Bombyx mori: one gene and its partner. The protein of the gene in region 1 binds, or shares a complex with, the protein of each later gene. Links are inferred from orthologs where the notes say so. Each region holds a gene or a part of one and is shown on either strand. Other genes may lie near its edges. The genes, in order: telomerase Cajal body protein 1 homolog and H/ACA ribonucleoprotein complex subunit 4.

The links.
Region 2: telomerase Cajal body protein 1 homolog (region 1) and H/ACA ribonucleoprotein complex subunit 4 share a complex: the UniProt entries of both Homo sapiens proteins name them as parts of the telomerase holoenzyme complex. The link is inferred for Bombyx mori from reciprocal best matches to the Homo sapiens genes WRAP53 and DKC1.

What each region holds. Positions count from the first base shown.
Region 1 is NC_085124.1:10,451,824-10,462,263, forward strand, and holds the end of telomerase Cajal body protein 1 homolog, read left to right. Parts: coding exon 1-327; intron 328-944; coding exon 945-1,133; intron 1,134-1,481; coding exon 1,482-1,642; intron 1,643-3,116; coding exon 3,117-3,406; intron 3,407-3,627; coding exon 3,628-3,891; 3' UTR 3,892-8,918; downstream 8,919-10,440. UniProt on the Homo sapiens protein: RNA chaperone that plays a key role in telomere maintenance and RNA localization to Cajal bodies. Specifically recognizes and binds the Cajal body box (CAB box) present in both small Cajal body RNAs (scaRNAs) and telomerase RNA template component (TERC).
Region 2 is NC_085130.1:16,024,255-16,033,540, reverse strand, and holds the end of H/ACA ribonucleoprotein complex subunit 4, read right to left. Parts: 5' UTR 9,197-9,286; coding exon 7,791-9,196; intron 6,584-7,790; coding exon 6,457-6,583; 3' UTR 3,198-6,456; downstream 1-3,197.

The DNA of each region.
Region 1 (10,440 bases):
CGCTTTTCAATATCCAGCATTATTTACAAGCAAAAGCTTTCTTGAATTGTCCACTTGCTCGTGGTCAAGGGGTCGTAATGCTAATGAGAATATACAGCCTTATTTACGTGGATGTAAGTGGTCCCCAGATGGAACCTGTTGCTTAAGTGTTGTCAATAACGATGGTGTTCATGTTACCGAGCTTCCTAGTGAATTGTACCAGGGCGTTGTTTGTGGCGATCGTATAATCGATGTCTTAGAATCAGTGATACATTTAAAAGAAACAGGTTCAGTTTACGACTTCTGTTGGTACCCATTCATGAACAGCACAAATCCCCCTTCCTGTTGGTGAGTGAGATTTAAAACTCAATATTTGGTCTACAATGGAATTGATGTAAATATAAAATATCGTTACTTAAATATCAACCAATCTAAAAATTAAAAAAATGCTCAGTGCCTTATGACAAAGGTGTACAACCAATGTGTTTTACCAGTGATGACGTACGGTTCTGAGATATGGTGTTTCACAAGGGAACTTTTTAAGAAGCTTAGTGTCACACAGCAACCTATAGAGAGGGCTATGTTTGGTATTTCTTTATGAGATCGAATCAGAAATGAGGAGATCCATAGAAGAGCCAAACTTGTTACATAGCCCTAGGATTAGCAAGCTGAAGCGGCAGTGGGAATGCCATATAGTACGAAGATTGACAGCCGATGGGGCAGAAAAATCCTTAAATGGAGACCACGTACTGTCAAGTGCAGTGTGCCGTGTACCAGATGGGCTGATGACATAGTGGACATCAGTAGGAGAGGCCTATGTTCAGCAGTGGACAGGCTGAGATTATGATAAAATATCAATTTTAGTTTGTCAGTAAACATAATTTCTCTTCCTTTAAAATAAGGAGCTGAAATAGATTTCTTAAGAAATGCCTAACTTTCATGTAACTCAATAATTTTATTGACAGCTGGTTAACAACAAAACAAAATTCTCCCATACAAATGTGGGATGCATTTGATGGATCACTCAGATGTTCATACAGAGGATTCAATGCAGTAGATGAAATGGAACCAGCTTTATCAGTTAGCTTTACCTCAGATGGTAGAAAAATCATTGCTGGCTATAAGAAGCATTTAAGAATTTTTGATGTTGAGCGGTAATTCTTCATTATCAAATTTATCTTAAAACTTTAATTTCATGCTCAGTGTGGGTATTTAAGCAAAGCTTAGACTTGCTAATAACTACTTTATATCAAGGCAGGAAGCTTTTATCGTATCTATACTAATATAAAGAGAATTTGTTGTATGGAAGTAAAATCTTTTAATATACTCATTAAGTTAGTAATGTGCTCAAGATAGACAATTTTTTTATTTCTTTGATTGGTATACAACTAGGTTTTAAGTGATTACTAGAGCTCATAGACTTCAACAACATAATTGTTGCAATCCTGCCTGAGTTCTAGGTCTATTTTATTTGCTTGTATATTAATCAGTAAATTTTTTAGGCCTGGCAGAGAATTTACTGAGCAAAAGATTTCTAGTTCAGCATCTAGCATTTCAACACAAAATAACTTAGTTGCTGTTGGTTCTTGGAATACAACAATAACTTTGTATAATGAATCAGAAATTGGTACTAAGAAAATTGGGGACATGTATGGACATGGAGGTAAATAGCACTGAATAATTGGTGTAACGTTTGTTACATATTGTTATATATATACCCAATACCTATATATACCTAATCCAGCCATAAGTTCTGTTTCAAATGAAAATGTTTTTTTTTTAATGAAGTAAAAAGAAATGAAGTCAGCAAAAAATAAAGAAAAATATTCTACTTGAAATGGCCACCTTTGGCTTTTATACAGGCCTTTAATCTGTTTGGCCATGAAACTATGAATTTGCGCACTGTTTCCAAGGGAAATTTCACTGCTTGCTCCAAAGGTTTTTTAAGACTCAATGTCGCTGTATCGCTTAGAGCAGGCCATGTTCTCTAAAACTGACCATAATTTCAAGTCTAATGGTTGAGGTCTGGGCTCGGTGAGGCTGGACTTCAGCTCTTACAAAGTCTGGAACATTGGTTTCAAGCCAGGCTTGGGTAGTTCCTGCCTTGTGACCAGGTGCAGAGACATGCGGGCCAGTCCACAGTATATTTTTAAAAAGTGTATTGCTGAGAGGTTTTACAGCATAATCCAAGACATGGATACATGGACAATGATACACATTGACTGAAGTTTTCACTTTCTTTTTCACAAAAATATAGCTTGTGATTCCTTGATAAGACACGCCCCACCAAACCATCACTGATGCAGGATGATGACCACTTTGTACCTTTCCTACCATTTCAGCAGCTTCTTTAGAACTGTGAGTGTACACTTTATCATTTTGTTTATTGCAGTGTTCTTCAATAGTGAAATTTTTTTCATCAGTAAAGAGAATATTTCTGTGCCTTTCACCTGCATATCGCATCAAAAGGCATTTTCATTTATCCAATCACTTTAATTATAAAGATTGATTTAGGGTATATCCTGCGAGCTTCAGGTCTTGTTTTATAATACGCGACAGAGTCCTATCGGGAATCTTCATTTCTCGCTATAAGATATTTTGCTGCCTAATTCGACGGATTCTGGCTTTAACAGCATTAAGCCTTTGTAGTTGTAACAGGACGCGGCTGCACCGATCTTTTCTGGTCTTCGACAGACGAAGTGTTGTTTTATCTGTTGATAGTTCGATGTACCAACATAATGGCTGATACCTAGCATTTGAAGTGTCTGGAATATGACCGACGGCTCAATACCCACTTTGCGCAAGGCGATCACTGCAATCCTATTTTCCTTAACACCACATTCCTTTGTCATTTGATAATGAACACGAAAAAATATCTGAAATGGCGCAAAATCGAAAGAAGTTTTTAAAATAATATACATGTTCCAAATACAAAATAATTAAAAAGTTGAAAAAAAAGAAAAGTTTTTATGTAACAGTATTTATGGCCAGACTAAGTTATATAATAATATATAGCACAACAAGTATATATTTTTATCAGAAACCTTAAATCCTTTAAGTGCATTCATAATCATTTAGCATATTCATGAATATTCATTTGGCTTTGCGAAATGTTTTGATTTTTTCTATTGCTTCAGGTGGAGTAACGCACATGAAATTCATTCCTGGTACTTTGAAGCTTGTTTCTGGTGCAAGAAAAGATCACAGACTGTTTGTTTGGGACATACGGTATTATAGGAAACCACTAAACATTCTGAGTAGAGTTGTAAATACGAACCAACGAATTTATTTTGATATATCACCTTGTGGAAAATATTTGGTATCGGGTGGTACAGATGGAGTGGTAAAAGTTTGGTCACTTGATCATATAGATTGGCATTCTAGTTTAGATCCAGTTAATAATACAACTGATGATGTTACTTATAAGGTATTATTTTTAATTATATTAATAGCTTGTGTGCTTTATTTTAAAAGCTTTTATTGAAAAAGAGTAATTGAATAAATAGTTTAATTTTGAAGCCTGCATGACATCACAATTGTACAGCTACTGGATGAGATTCTATTTTACTATTTAATGAATATATTGCTTACATGGTAATTAATTTGACGGCTTAAACTCTATTTTTGACTTGACTTTTTCATTTTCAGTTTCCTTTATACAAAGATTGCTGCAATAGCATATCAATTCATCCATATAGACCCATATTGGCTACCGGATCTGGTCAATATCATTTCACAGACCCGATAAAATCTTTGAGTGAGAAAACGAATAATGAAGCCGTAGATTCTAGTTCTGATGATTCTATTAACCAGTATGATATACGATACTCTAGTCACAGTGAAAATTGTTTGACGTTCTGGTGGACTGGGGATGTTATAGAATTAAATAAAAACCTACGTCGTTGTGTTTAAGCAGATGAATCTTTATGTATTTCAATTTATACATTTGTAGTTGATGTTGTGTGAAAAAATGAATGTGATAGATGAGTTTCCACTTTAAAAAAATTTACATGACTTATGTTGACTCTGACCTTCAAGCCTTCTCTTTTCTTATGTTGGCTGGCAATCAAACTGAAAGTGTCAAAAATCTTTGTGATTTTTTTTGGTTCAATAGTATTTATCGAGTAGTCTGATATGTAGATATGAAGAATATTTTTTATATTGTCTACCCTATTTAAATACCCCCTATTTACAAGTATAGTTAAAGTGAAAGGTTTTCAACTATAAAGTTGAAAATAACGAAGTTTGGGGTTCCCGGTCTACTTATTATCATTTAACATTTTACTGGTGATAGGACCTCTTGTGAGTCCGCACGGGTAGGTACCACCACCCTGCCTATTTCTGCCGTGAAGCGGTAATCAGTTTCGGTTTGAAGGGTGGGGCAGCCGTAACTATACTGAGACCTTAGAACTTATATCTCAAGGTGGGTGGCGCATTTACGTTGTAGATGTCTATGGGATCCAGTAACCACTTAACACAAGGTGTGCTGTGAGCTCGTCCACCCATTTGAGCAATAAAAATAAAATAAAACATTCCGTTTATGACCTACATACAATAATTTTATGTTGATAAACACGTTAGTTCGTTACTTAACAGTATCAAACAATCGAATAGTGGACTTTTCCCAAGGCTAATTCGGTTTCCGGCAGTAACAAGTAGATCGATAACATGTCATTGTCGAAAGCAAAGACGATTATGAAAATTTGCGCAAACGTTTATTTTTTAAATCACAACTACCAAAATTTTGTTTAGTTATGATATATGTATGTAAATACTTATAAATTGAGACTAGCCCTTGCATAAAGTCCGCTTAGAAATGTGCGAAAAATTGGCAATCTATTGGCCTATCTCAACCGCAAAACACGTTTTGGATTAAAGGGTAAAATTTAATAACTTTTAGATCTTGTAATGATAAATATTCGAGCAGATTTTGATAAAAATGTTTGGTAAGTTATACGCGGTGTAAAATGTAACTACCCTCGAAGCTGCAACAAAGGTGCTATGCAAATCATTAGCGAAAATCGGGAGACGAAATTGATTTCGGGAATGATTCGCTTCCATTGATAGATGGAAAAATGTGTTGAGAGTGAAATGATCGGACTGAATTTTAAATTTTGACTTTTGAGTCACAATTGCGAATTGCATAAATTTAATTTAAGCCCACGGTATTCCGTTTTCGGGCAAAAATACTTAAACATTCCTTCAAAAATAGAATTTTGTATTGATAAATGTTCGACTGACTTAGAATTATTATCCCATTTTTCTAAAAAAAAGGGCTTAGGAACGGAATGTTCGTGAAAATTGAGTGCCAATTTTAATCTATTGTACTTTTCTATACATATAAGTACTGTTATCACTAATGTTAAGGAAGAAAGAGGGGAGTGACGACAAAAAACGTGTAATGAATTTAAAAGTAATTGTTTTTTGCTGGCACATAGCCGCGACTTAATGTGATCTTTAAAAGTTTATTCTTTTTATTTGCCAACTGATCGTAACAAAACACTTCAAAGATAGTATATGCTTATCAAAATTATCTAAGGCCAATTCGTTCACTCATTGGGGAAACGACTAAGTTGTCCAAAAAAAGGTGCATAGACTAAAAATAAAAATTATCTTTATGATTTTATTTAATAATACGTAGACATAAATAACATATTATCAGTTCTCTTTGTAAAGGATTTTATTTCATAATACGTACTTAGACATAAATAAAATATCAGTTCTCTTTGTAAAGTTTTGTCGACGTCATCCATGGAATATGATAACTCGATCGATTTGCTGACTGTAGTCCTCAGATCCTTGTAAAGCGGCTCAGTTTTATTGCCACGCCGAGACCTTTGGCGTCCGTAAATCTTTATTAAAATGTTTTATGACGATTGCCTTATACGCGTTCAATCAGTTTCGGATTGTTGGGTTCAATCGAAACGTAACTAATACGATATATTACTCAAATATTTAAACGTTTTGTTTGTTTGAAAGCTTATCTATTTGCAACCTCTTTTTCAGGTCTTCGTCTATATATATGTAATAATGATATTATATAGGATAGTATTAAATATGTATTTTTCACGTGATATTAAATATTACATGAAAGTGTCGACGATTACAAGATCCTCGTCGACATGCTTGATGAAATTTGATGGCCCGGTAGGCTTAGTGATTAGTGACCCTGGCGACTGTACTACAGAATTCAGGTTTGATTCCCGATCGGAATCTATCTTTGTAAAATTTATTAGGCATTTTTTGCACATATATTTTTTACATGTATAATACAGGAGAGGACGATATCCGGAGGCCGTTGATGGCCTAGAAAAATAGAAGCTAGTAGAGAGATGATGCATGTGACTAGGAGATGTATGGAAATAGCAATGCAAGGTAGAGGGGGAAGAGGTCGACCGAAGAAGACATGGATGGAGTATGTGAATGACGATATGAGAGACAGAGAGGAGGGAGTGTCAAGATGACGGCTGAGAGAAGAGAATGGAATAGAAAAATTCGCTGTGCCGACCCCACCTAGTGGGATAAGGTGGAGAAAAAGAAGAAGAAGAAGTTGATGGTTTACAAAAAATCATGTAAACTTCAGATCACGGCATCCTGGGTGACTACGATTTTTGTTTGTTTGTTGAGATTATACCAAAGTTAGGGAGAGAGGAAAAATGCGCGAAACCTCAATCGAAACAGACGAGGGGTCTGTTTCGATTGAGTTCTGTGTCAGTCGAGGTTTGGACAAGGCTCGTTGAGCGATAGGGGCTTTTAGTTGGTTCAACTCCGAGACTGCCAACCTATCGTCTAGTTAGAAGCCTAAGGATTTCCTAACGAACCAAAAAAAAAAAAAACGCTCTGAGAATTAAATTATAACTATGTGCTTACGTATTGATATAAGCTTGCGTGTTTAAATAAAAAACAAATATTGAATGTTAACGAAACCTTATTATTGCCATTCCGGTTTTGTGACCACGAATACCGAAAGAACTACTAATTATTCGCACGTTAATTGAAGATGTCGTACAACTGCGTTACTTGACTATATTTTAATTGAAATTGGTTTGAATTCGGAATCGAGGAAGTGACTATTTGATAGGAAAATTCAAGCATTTACTAAAGTGTTAATTATGGTAAATTAAAAGCTTTTCATTAAAAACTATTTATTTAACTATGTAGGTATGATATGCCTACTATATCTAAATTTTTCTGGTAGCTTTTTATTCTTATCGCGTATAGTAAAACGATATCTTTTTTAATCGATTTCAAAAAAGGAGGATGTTCTCAATTCGACGTTTTTTTTTGTTAGATACCTCATAAATTTTGACTGAGTGAATCGATTTTGATCACTCTTTTTTTATTAGAAAGCTGACGCTTCCCGTGTGGTCACATTTCAATTTAGTCCAGTTCTGATAATGGTGGTAGATGCATAACTCAATATCACGTCAACCGATTTCGATGATTATTGGTTTTTAGTGTATATATTTTTTTGGAATATCTTTTTTTTTCTATTTGATGTTGGGTTTTGTTATGTCTATTTACAATTAATTAGCATGTCTATTTACATTTATTCCAGACGGTGCTTAACAATTAAGAACCTAATGTGCAATAAAACAAGGGCACGTATGTGATATGCGTTCACGAATTTCAAAGAATATTGAAAGGTGACTTTTTGTCTTTTGATTTAAAATTTTCTACAATATAGGTTCTCTTAAGCCTTTCCCGGGTATGGTTAAAAATACGGGTATGGGATCTCGCAAACTTATATTTTTCTTCTATTTAAGTGTCCCAAAAATATCTACCTCGCGTAGACAATGTTTGACCGTTGGCACGTATGAAGATTTGACACTTTGAGTTCAAGGTGGGTCATGGGATTCGTACTGCAGTTACTGCGGGATTTGGTAGGTATTTGCTTAACACATGACACATACAAAATTAAGTAATCTTCGTCGATCTTAAAATATTTTCACGGGTGTCTATTGTGAATAAGTTCATGTTATATTCGAACATAGGTATAATAGTTGTATAATGGACTGACAGAAATAGAACTGAGACTGAAGAAGTACGAAAAATTCAGTAGCATTGAAATACCAAAAAATCTAAGAAAAAAGTAGGACTGACTGGGATCCGAAAGTGACAAAAAAACGAATGACACTTTTTACAAGTCAGCGGCTGCGAGGGTAATCCCAGTCGGCATTAATCTGGCTTACACGAGAGAAATTTGCAATTTTGTTTCCTGCCCTTTATTATCTAGCCGACCGACAAACGTCACTTCTTTGTGGATTATTGTTTGTGGACTGCGACGGATCATTTATTCTGTTAACATAATTGGCGCGTTGCCTAGGCCACGAGGGCCATAAGTTTGGGGTTTTCATTGCCTTAGAACGAAAAGGGGACAATTACTTGATAGGGAGTGGTCGGCGTCACTCACCAGCAATGCCAGGGTTACAGCTAAGCCGCTGCTCTCCGCTGAGGACTCTGGGGAGTGTAATGTGGAAATAATAGACAGTAACAACTGCAAATAGCACACGATAGTCATAGTATGGGTTCGTTCAGGTTGATTTATATTTCGTGCGTGAAAATTTGATCACAAAATGTAATGTTTTTTCAAAGTTGATATAATTAGTACACGGCGGTAGTAGGGCGGATATACTTAATACATGATTTTAAATCGTAAATTCAAAGCAATCCACGTGATTTTGGCAAATCTTTTACCCTGTTTTGGGTAAAGTTCGATTATGGTTTCTAATTAAACTACGAATCCTATAATATTATATTTACATAGAAGTCATATATAAGTGATTTTAATAGACTGTATTTTAAGTTTACCAATTTAATAATATAGTTCTTTTATATAAATATCCTTAGAAACTACGTATGTATGTTAATGCGAAGTGTAATTCTAGTCATTGTAGTTGTATTAATGTGATCTCTGAATAAATATTTGATATTGTGAACGTGAGATTTTCCTTTCAACAATGATTCAATTTCCGAATACATACCTACCTGGTCCTGTGGACTGAATGGTAAAAAGTCGCAGTCGCCCAAAACACGCCATTTAGGATCCTCCTGATCCACTATCGGTGCTTTTAGGTACCTCAGGGTGTCGAGGATGTATAATGGGTATGTCAAGCCGAAATCGAACTATAGTTTCAAAAATGCAGATCACGTTAAAAACGTCTAAGCCGTACTTAGTTTCATACAAAAACTAATATTTTAATTGTTTCAACTGGTTGATGATAACCCTGGAATTGTACAACAAAAATGCCATTAATCCGTTAATTTGGTTAAACGCGTTAGAAATAGATAGATAACAGCAGATTCGTTCAATTGATTTTAATCAATGAAAACGACAAAAAATGCTATCATATGACTAGACGCTTAAGGTTCAAAATCGCAAACCAAAATTCCAAACGCATTACGGCCATTACATATTACTAAATTTCATTTTCATTGCAAAGACAAAGAAGTTATTTGATGTGCCGAAACAGTCGGAGCGGTTAGAGGCACAGGCGAAGCCCCTTCTGGTCATAGCTGGAATACTCATAGGCTACCGTTGCCAGCGAATAAAAAAAAGCCGGTGAAGTGTTTATGTGTGTGTATATTAATCAGCTGACATAACGTGATTTTTGAATTCAGAGAAACCGCCCGTTTAGACCTGTTTCTACAAGAGAAAATCGCCGGATCCCCACCCGCGCGGCAGGTGGTATGTGGGAGTTGAACCTCACTAAAAACTCCTGCCGCTCACAACCGGCGCCCTACCTCGGACCGGGCCGGAGCCCAGTCGGGGCTATTGAAACGGCGGGACAGGGTTGACGCAGAGCACATTACATCCATCCCACCGTCCCACGGACGCCGGACCGGCGGCCGCCAGCGACACGACCACCGGTTCCCTCGTTCAGCGGGCCGAGAGTCCGCTTTGATGGCGCCGCTTTACACCTTCCCCCAGAGTGGTCGGGGGAACGCGGTCTACCATCACCCGGCTTCCTACTGCGGGTGAGCGTGCAAAGCACGCCACCCCACGTCTGGGTCTCTCCCCGCACAAAACGGGTGGGACCCCTAGCTCTTAGGGGGCCAGGTCACGGATACGTTTAGATCTGTAGCAGTTTTGGTATTTTTACATTAATTTTTACTCTTTTATACCTTGAATTAATTTACGAACATAAATCTTGGTGAGATAAAAGTCTTTCAAGTACCTAATTACGTAACCTCGAGGGCTGAATGAAAGCGATATCACAGGGATATTGAATTGATTAAATATAGAACACTATCTACCATTATCCGATTGATATGCCCTTTGTGAGGCACTCTCTATACATGTTGTGAGAACATTCGGATCATCGGTCTATCGAGAAATAACACCCACTGGGTGGAAGGTCTTCCCTTTGTCGTTACCCTTTGAAACATGTTTTTTATAACTTCAGTTTGAAAAAAAGGTTTGACGAAGTATACATATTAATGTATTAAATCGAATTTTAT
Region 2 (9,286 bases), on another chromosome or scaffold:
TAGCGCAGCAGCGGCACTAAATTGCTTATAACTACCTCATTTATGGTCGTATACCAAGGTTTTATATTTTTCAAGGACTATAATACTGCATTCAAAACTCAAAACCTTGGCCATCATCATTCAGTGCTGCTTCTGATCAATAGTTTGTTTGGGTACATACAATTCGGTGATGCTTCTGTCCAATAGCTTATTTGGGGACATGCGATTCAGTGATGCTTCTGTCCAATAGCTTGTTTGGGGACATGTGATTCAGTGATGCCTCTGTCCAATAGCCTGTTTTGGGGACATGCAATTCAGTGATGCTTCTGTCCAATTGTTTGTTTGGGGACATGTGATTCAGTGATACTTCTGTCCAATAACTTGCTTGGAGATATGCGATTCAGTGATGCTTCTGTCCTATAGCTTGTTTGGGGACATGTGATTCAGTGATGCTTCTGTTCAATAGTTTGTTTGGGGACATGTGATTCAGTGATGCTTCTGTTCAATAGTTTGTTTGGGGACAAGTGATTCAGTGAGGCCTCTGTTCAATAGCTTGTTTGGGGATATCTGATTCAGTGATGCCTCTGTTCAATAGTTTGTTTGGGGACAAGTGATTCAGTGATGCCTCTGTTCAATAGTTTGTTTGGGGACATGTGATTCAGTGATGCCTCTGTTCAATAGTTTGTTTGGGGACATGTGATTCAGTGATGCTTCTGTTCAATAGTTTGTTTGGGGACAAGTGATTCAGTGAGGCCTCTGTTCAATAGCTTGTTTGGGGATATCTGATTCAGTGATGCCTCTGTTCAATAGTTTGTTTGGGGACATATGGTTCAGTGATGCTTCTGTTCAATAGTTTGTTTGGGGACATGTGATTCAGTGATGCTTCTGTTCAATAGTTTGTTTGGGGACAAGTGATTCAGTGATGCTTCTGTTCAATCGTTTGTTTGGGGACAAGTGATTCAGTGATGCCTCTGTTCAATAGTTTGTTTGGGGACATGTGATTCAGTGATGCTTCTGTCCGGTTGTTTATTTGGGGACATGTGATTCAGTGATACTTCTGTCCAATAACTTGCTTGGGGACATGCGATTCAGTGATGCTTCTGTTCCATAGTTTGTTTGGGGACATGTGATTCAGTGAGGCCTCTGTTCAATAGCTTGTTTGGGGACATCTGATTCAGTGATGCTTCTGTTCAATAGTTTGTTTGGGGACATGTGATTCAGTGAGGCCTCTGTTCAATAGCTTGTTTGGGGAAATTTGATTCAGTGATGCCTCTGTTCAATAGTTTATTTAAGCGGTCCATTATGAGGTTTCTCATGGCGGGGAATCTCTATAGAGCAGTGCAACGACTAATGATAATCATCATTTAAAAGAAAATTTCACCGTTTCTGACCTTGTTTCTCTAAGAGGTAAGCTGATATTTCTATTATCTACTAATTGATAACATTATACAAAGTTTTTTTTTTTATTAAAAATTATAATAATTCATTTATTTATCCGATAATTTTAAGCCATACACAATAATACATATATAGATTCCCCTTTTGATATTCGTTGGCCCAGTACAAAATTTGATAGGAAAATCTAAACAAAAAAATATTTTATTGACAACCCTACGACTTCAAAATCAGTGATGGGCGTAACTAGTTACTTTTTTAATCTAATTAGTAATTAAACTACAAAATAATTTAATTACAATGTAATCTGATTATATAGTAATCAATTACATTGTAATTAGAATTACTTTGGATGTGAAAGTAATTGAATACAATGTATTTAATTGCAATATAACTAAATTACAATCTAACCTAATTACATAGTAATCAATTACATCGTAAATCGTAATTACTTTGAATATAACACTTGTAATAAAAACACATATTTATATATATCATACATCGATTTTTTAGATAGGTAGGTTTTATGTACTTCAATAAAAATAAATAGGTAAGGCTCACTTCATAGTGAACTAGAAAGGAAGGTGTGCGGAGTGGGGGACGACTGCTTTTTCTTTTCGACTTTTTTTTGTTTTCGTACGCTACTATCATTAATTTTCCGAAAGCCAACCAACCACCTGTCAGACGAAATGTTTGAAAAAAGAGTCCTATTAAAAGTAATTTAAATTATAAATCAGCAAAATAATGTTGTTTAATTTAATCTGCCAATGATTAATTTAAAAAAAATAACGTAAAATGATAAAAGATTATAAAAAAAAGTATATAAATGTGTTTCATTTTTGCGTTTGTCATAAAAGTTATTAGTAGGACATTTTTTGTAAGGTTACCTAACAAAACATAACAGAATAGTTATGTGATCAATTATCAGTAATTATAAGTAATTTGTTTCAAATACATAAGTAATCTGTTACAGTTAATGTAATTAGGTTAACTTATAATTGAATTACTTTATAACTGATTACAATAAGTACTCGCTGTAATCAGTTACTTAAGTAACCTGTTACAAAGTATCTCAATTACCAATTACAATGTAACTGTAATTTGTAATTATTAATCTGATTACTTTTTGCCCATCACTGTTCAAAATTAATGCCGGCCACTGACATGCGCGCAAATATTCGTACATTGTACGAATGCTTGCGCGCATGTGAAGGGCCGTGAAACATTCATTCGCAAACCTAGCGGCTGTGCAAATGGGTTCGCATACTCAATTTGCGAACCCGTTTGCGCTTCCTCCTACACTTGTTTATGAATGTCTCACGAATTTCTCCTTCTTTTTAATTCGTCAATAGAACATTGAAGAGAAAAAGAGTTTTTAACTATTTACCAGATATCATTAACAGCCATGCTGTTTTTATGGGATTTCTTTTGATGAAGATACGCTACACAGTAGACGTCACGAACTATGAAAATGGCGTATAGTATACGTCCGTCACCTTCGCAATCGTCGGCGCAACTGGGCAAGCGAATGTGTGGGAGGCTACGCGAAGGTTCGAGGTTCGCGCGCTTTGATGTCTGTTAAAAAAACGACACAGCTTGGAAAACCACGAATGCAGCGAAAACTTTGCATAATCATTCGCAAATGTCGTCCTACACTTGTGGGTTTGCGTATTCGTGCGCATGTGAGGGACTGGTGTAATATCCAGATTAGTTGTAAATAGTTAATTTACGGGACACCCTGTATATACCGTCTGTACAGACTGGCGTAGTCATAAACTATCTTTAAAAAATACTTGTCAAATCAAATCCCAGAATAAAACAAATTTTTCCTTAAAAATAGTTTATTTCAATGTCACAAAAATCTTCTTCCATTACGTACTTACAAATATAAACTCAAGATGATATTTTACTTACCATCTGACAAAACTAAATACCTTATTGACTCCAAGAGGTCTCAAACCCTCAAATAATTGGATTTATATTGGATTTAAAATTTATATTTAGACTTTTAGAACTTCACTTGAACTTAAGCTTAAATGCTTTTTTTAATACAACTTCACGGTTTAACCTCTTGTTTTTTATTGTCATTTTAAATTAGGTATTTCCGGGGTTTTTTTCTTCAGTTTTTGTGGTCACAGGCGTTTGAATGAGCCGTAAAGTAATTTTATTTATCTTATCTTTCTTTTCTTTACTACTTCCAAGGTCACGAACGACTGAGTGAGACGCAAAGTCGTAAATACGTTTTATCTTCCACCAGTGTTATGCTGTCTATATAATAATATGTCTCATCTATGGTTAGATTAGTTAGTGTTACATATTCTACGAGGGGTAAGCATTTTCAATCAAAGACTTAAATACGTCAATGACATTTAAAATTCTAATCTAAATTTCACCAGCTCAAAATGATTAAAAAAAAAACTAATTCTAAAACAAAGGAACAATATAATTATATAAAATATAGTGCATTTTATTTTAGTTTTAAGCTTACGACACCTAATTAAAAAATTGTCGGCATGCGAAGCGATCAGAATTTTGCAAAATAGATTTTACACGCAAACCCGCGTATAACCTATAATCTAATTTTATTTTTATAAATCTTAACTAAATACAGTCGCATAGATTTATGTATATAATATATACTTATAAAAACTATTATATCTACCATTGTGCCTTTATTGTTGGGAAAGGCTTATTATTATTGAAAAATAATAAAATATATTTACACCCGTATCATAAATGCAATGTTAAGTTATTTTTTTATTGGGACAAAAACACCACAGACTATCCTATCGCCAAACATGGCCTAGCCATTACGATCTATTGCTTGGCAAATAGACTGAATTTATGGCAACATAAAGGATAGATTATCAAGAAAATGTATTAAATTATCAAAATAATTCAAAAATTGGTTATTAGACATGGACAAGAACTGCATTGAAAGATGCCAGTTTTCCTATTAATTTAAATTGTTTTATCGTTCAATAATTTTCTATATGTATTTTGAGGTTTTTGTTTCTGAATCTAAGTTTAAGCACTAAAAAATACAAAAGAGTTGTTAGGGACTTTTATTTTGAAAAAAAAAAACATCATTCCTCATTATTCATTCGTACCACTTATGAACTAATCTTATAAACTATCTTAACAATGTACAATGTTTTAATAAACGACGACAAATTACAAAATTTTAACTTTAGCAATTTGAGCATTGAGTTCTGCAATTTTATGGATTGGAGTTTTAGAACGGAAATGACTAACCTTTTTTTTTGAGGCAAATGATTTCAGCTCGGTTAAAAGAGAGTCTGGAGCAGTTGGGAGTTATTATTATACATGCATACTCTATTTATGTAATGCATATTCATATAAAAAAAATCACAAAAGATTTTGTCGAGTTGTGTGTGGCTAGAACACGCATAGGATTATCAAATTGGATCTGTAACACAACAATAGTGTCAAAGATTACTAACTACTCAATTAAATGTGGATTAGAATATATGAGTCGACTATTATCAAAGCCGGCAATCTGACTTTTGGACAATGATTGGTAAATCAGAAAAACGAATTATTGACTTTGTATTCCATTGGCAGTCACAAAACTCTTCGGAACGACATCTTAGATAATAATAGGTTAACTATTAACCTTTATTTAATGCAGGTTTTGAACCGTATTCTTTGAAGGAGACGATTATATTCAAATCAATCTGTATTGACATATCAATAAAAAATTTTTGTCCAAATGATTGCCACCTTTGATAATAGACGACTCATATATTCTTTGACAATGTTTAAGACTCTCTTTGACACAATAGATTAGACATATAAAAGGGTGCGTGTACTTATGTACGCGCGTAAGAAGATTTACTTTATTTTTATTAAATTTATTTTTTTTTTTTTATTTAAATTTTAATCAATTTGAAAAAAATCGATTAAACAACATCCTCAAACACGCATATTTGACATCCCTTTTCTTGACATCGTATAAATTCGGTAATTCTCGGTACGGTTCGGAAAGTTCACCTGCGGCTATATTCAGACTCGCCAAGTTACGTCGGTTGTATTGTAATGAGCGATTTAGTGGACAACTTCATTCTGTTAATTTTGTGTCACGGTGCGCGCGCATCGTAAAATTTCACTCTCATCAATTTTTCATAACGCGCCTTAAAAAGTATAACTTCAAAAAACAGTATTTTTTAAGTAGTTTACGTGCTAAATCACAATGTAACATATTGCTAAAGTTAAAATATTGTAAACGCCATAGACATTTGTCCATTCCAAACGGAACTACATCAAAATTTGAATTTACTTATATTTTTTACGCTTAAAAGAGAACCATTCTCAATTAATACCATGTCCATTTCTTATGACATATTTATGGGTACATGTTACTTCGTAATTACACTTAATATTCTTAGTGTGTAAAGAAACTATTTCAGTAAAATAAAACATAAAGTTTAGTTTGATTTGAAGTTAATATTCAAAATTAAAATTACTATTATTGAAGTTTCTTGACAACACACAATGTAACCAAATTGTCAGAATCAGCTGAGAGACAAGGTCAAGGCCCTCGTGAAAAGCAGCCATATTGAAATTTAATTAAATTTGAAGGTAATCAGTATTTTTCCTAGTTGCCTAAACTTGCCTTGTTATTAAATGTTCACTTTAGATACTTTTTGAATAATCCAGTTTTGTGTTTAGTTTTCAAAATTTTTCCAATAAAGGGTACCATTTTACCAATAAATTTGATATACTTAACATAGCAGTTTTGTTTTTAAATTTCCATACATATTATTGATAAGAGATGGTGGGAATTTTTTTTCTCTAATTACAAATTAGATTAATTACATTTAATTTTGTGAAAATACCTTCTGCTACGAATATAATACTTATTTCATTAATCTTGTTTCTGTTAATTCAATATGAAATCTCCAACTTTTTACATTTATATATCCGATTATTGTATCACTGATAAATGTATGTCGAATTCAAAAAACGCAATTTCTTAATATAAGCTGTACAATGTTGTCTTTCAAATCTAAACGTAACTCAGTTTAAAATCTACAAACTGTTTGTTTTGCAACATCAAATTCATTCATCAACCTCTTGTTTATCTTTCTTCTTTTTCTTTTTCTTCTCTTTGCGCACAGAATCATCTGCTGGTTGTTCTGCTGTCTCTGGTGACTCCGATGTGTCCATAGTGGCGTCTGCTTCGGCACTGGAATTATGAAGAAATTGAATAGATTGTGTAGAAATGTGTATAAATAAAGCACAATAAGCTAGGGCTTTGTAATCGTACAAACAAGTATATTTGTTCTGCATATGACTAGAAGGGAAAGCTTGAGGACAGACAGAAATAGTTTTTAATGAATTTTCCAGCACCCACATATGCAATAAAAGAAAAAGTTCATCCAGATCTTATAGCATATTTCGTTTATCACTTGTAGCATATAGAAATGTAATTTTGGAATATTTTTGAGAGGCATTAGCTCCAATGTGTATTAGTAAGGTTTAAAATATATATCGTCTTTTCGCATTAGAAGTGTACAATTTCCAAAAATATTCGAAATTGAGTTAATTACGGAATCATTCGGTATCACCAGTATTTTTCTCATAAATACTGTCAAAAGAGCATAGTTTCGTTTTTTTTCTTTAGTTTACCTATATTTTGACTACTATTATCAAAATTAATACATAATTTTATCTTACTTTAAAAGACAGATAATGTAACATTTTTTCTGCAAAGATGATTAATATTAAAAATAGCACATGTCTAACACTCTCCTGTAAAATTAGTAAGTTTTGAGATTATACAGTTTTAATGCGAGAAGATGAATCATGTGAATGTGAACATTGTGTTGTTTTTTTGTAATCTTAATTTTATAAATTTCTTTTTTCATTGTTCTTTCTACAATCATATCTGATGTTGACAGTGGACACTGTGTGGAGTTTGTTTGTTTGCCTATTTGTAACATATTGTTTGTTTTGGACTGTTTCCCAAATAAATAAACACATAAAAATAAAGCATAGTACTGCCACAGTAATTCTCACTATCCAGACATCATTTATTATAATTTGCGTAATTACTGGTAGTAGGACCTCTTGTAAGTCTGCACAGATAGGTACCAGCACCCTGCCTATTTCTGCCGTGAAGCAGTAATGCATTTCGGTTTGAGAGGCAGGGCAGCCGTTGTATATTGAGACCTTAGAACTTATATCTCAAGGTGGATGGCGCATTTACGTTGTGGATGTCTATGGGCTCCAGTAACCACTTAACACCAGGTGGGCTGTGAGCTCGGCCAACCATATCTAAGCAATAAAAAAAAAATTCTCACTTAGTTTGTAATAACAAATCCTTGAAACCAGACACGATAATTGTCTGAATTCCACTACAAATAATCAAAATGCAAAGAACCAGTACTTACGGGGCTTCACTATCTCTCTTTTTCTTCTTCTTCTTCTTTTCCTGCTTCACCTCTATGGAGACATCGGGATCTTCTGCGTTAGCTGTGCTTGCCGTTCGCTTTCTGCTGCCTTCCTCGACACCGTCACCATTCTCCGGTTCTTTCTTAACATTATAGTTGACGTAACTGTTTAACCATTCTTTTGGTGTGTTCTCATTTGGTTTGCCATATTTGTCAAGTTTCCCTTGTTGTATGAGGATTTTTTTCTGTGAGGCTTTCGGTCCGAGACCCCATTTTCTGGGGTACGTGTCTCGTTCCATTATGACACGCTTGAGTTTCGCGGCTACACCATGATCGCATGAGGCCATCGTAGACGTGGTCATCAGAGCAACGGCCAACGCTACTGCCTCACCTTTAGTGGTGACTATTACGATTTCTTGGTCAACTTCGATGCCGTCTTCGTATCTTAAAATACCTGGTAACAGCACTTTGGCTCCGTAGCAAACAGCATTAACAGCGCTGTCTTTGATAAATATCCTTTTGTGAGCAATCAGGAGGCCTTCCAGAGGTTTGATTACTCGACGAAGATAAGTCTCGTCTTTGTGGTTTTCATACGACCATTGTGCATCTAGGATGTCGTGCATCGTGACCATGCCTTCCTTCTCGCCCTGAATGCCGGACCGTACTCGTCTGAGTTCGATCATCTGACCTCCGACGCCAAGCATCAGACCTAAATGCACACACATCGTCCGGATATACGATCCAGCCTCGCAACTAACCCAGAACACCCCAATATTCTTGTCCTGGTCGAAATCCAGGAGTTTACTGTCGTACACCGTCCTGACACGCAGTTGTCGCTTCACGGCCGATATAAGCGGGGGCCTCTGGAATAGAGCTCCACGCAGCTTCTCCAAGCCCTGTGTGACTTTTTGAATATTCTCTACGGCTGAATGCAAGTTGAAAACGGCTACATACTCTTTGCCAGCGTTCTGTTGTGATTTGACGAGTCTCGTGGCGCGGTCTATGCAAACGATAAGGCAACCCGTAACTTTCGGATCGAGCGTGCCCGAATGACCAGTCTTTTCGACTTTTAAAATACGTTTTATCCATGAAACTACTTCGTGGGAGCTGGGGTTGCTCGGTTTGTCGACGTTGATGAAGCCAGATTTGACGTAATCAGAGATGGGGCGTTTTAAAGGCGAGTTGCCGAATGGTAGCGGCGTGTAATGGTTAGTGCGCACATTTAAGCGATCGAAGTTTTTCAACAACAAAGGCCAGTAAGCGGTGTCCAGCTTCTTCACGCTCTCCGAAGGTTCGATTTTGAAGTCGCCAATTGTCTGAAAAGCTCCCAACGAAACACCATCCTTGTTTTTTTTCTTTTTCTTCTCTGAAAGTGTGTCGTTACCGGGCTGCAGTACCTCCGTCATTTTGATGAATTAACACGTATCTTTTCTTACTCTTAATTTTAGGCGATCGACGCAATCACTTGGGTAAACAATGCCCTATAATCGGGCACT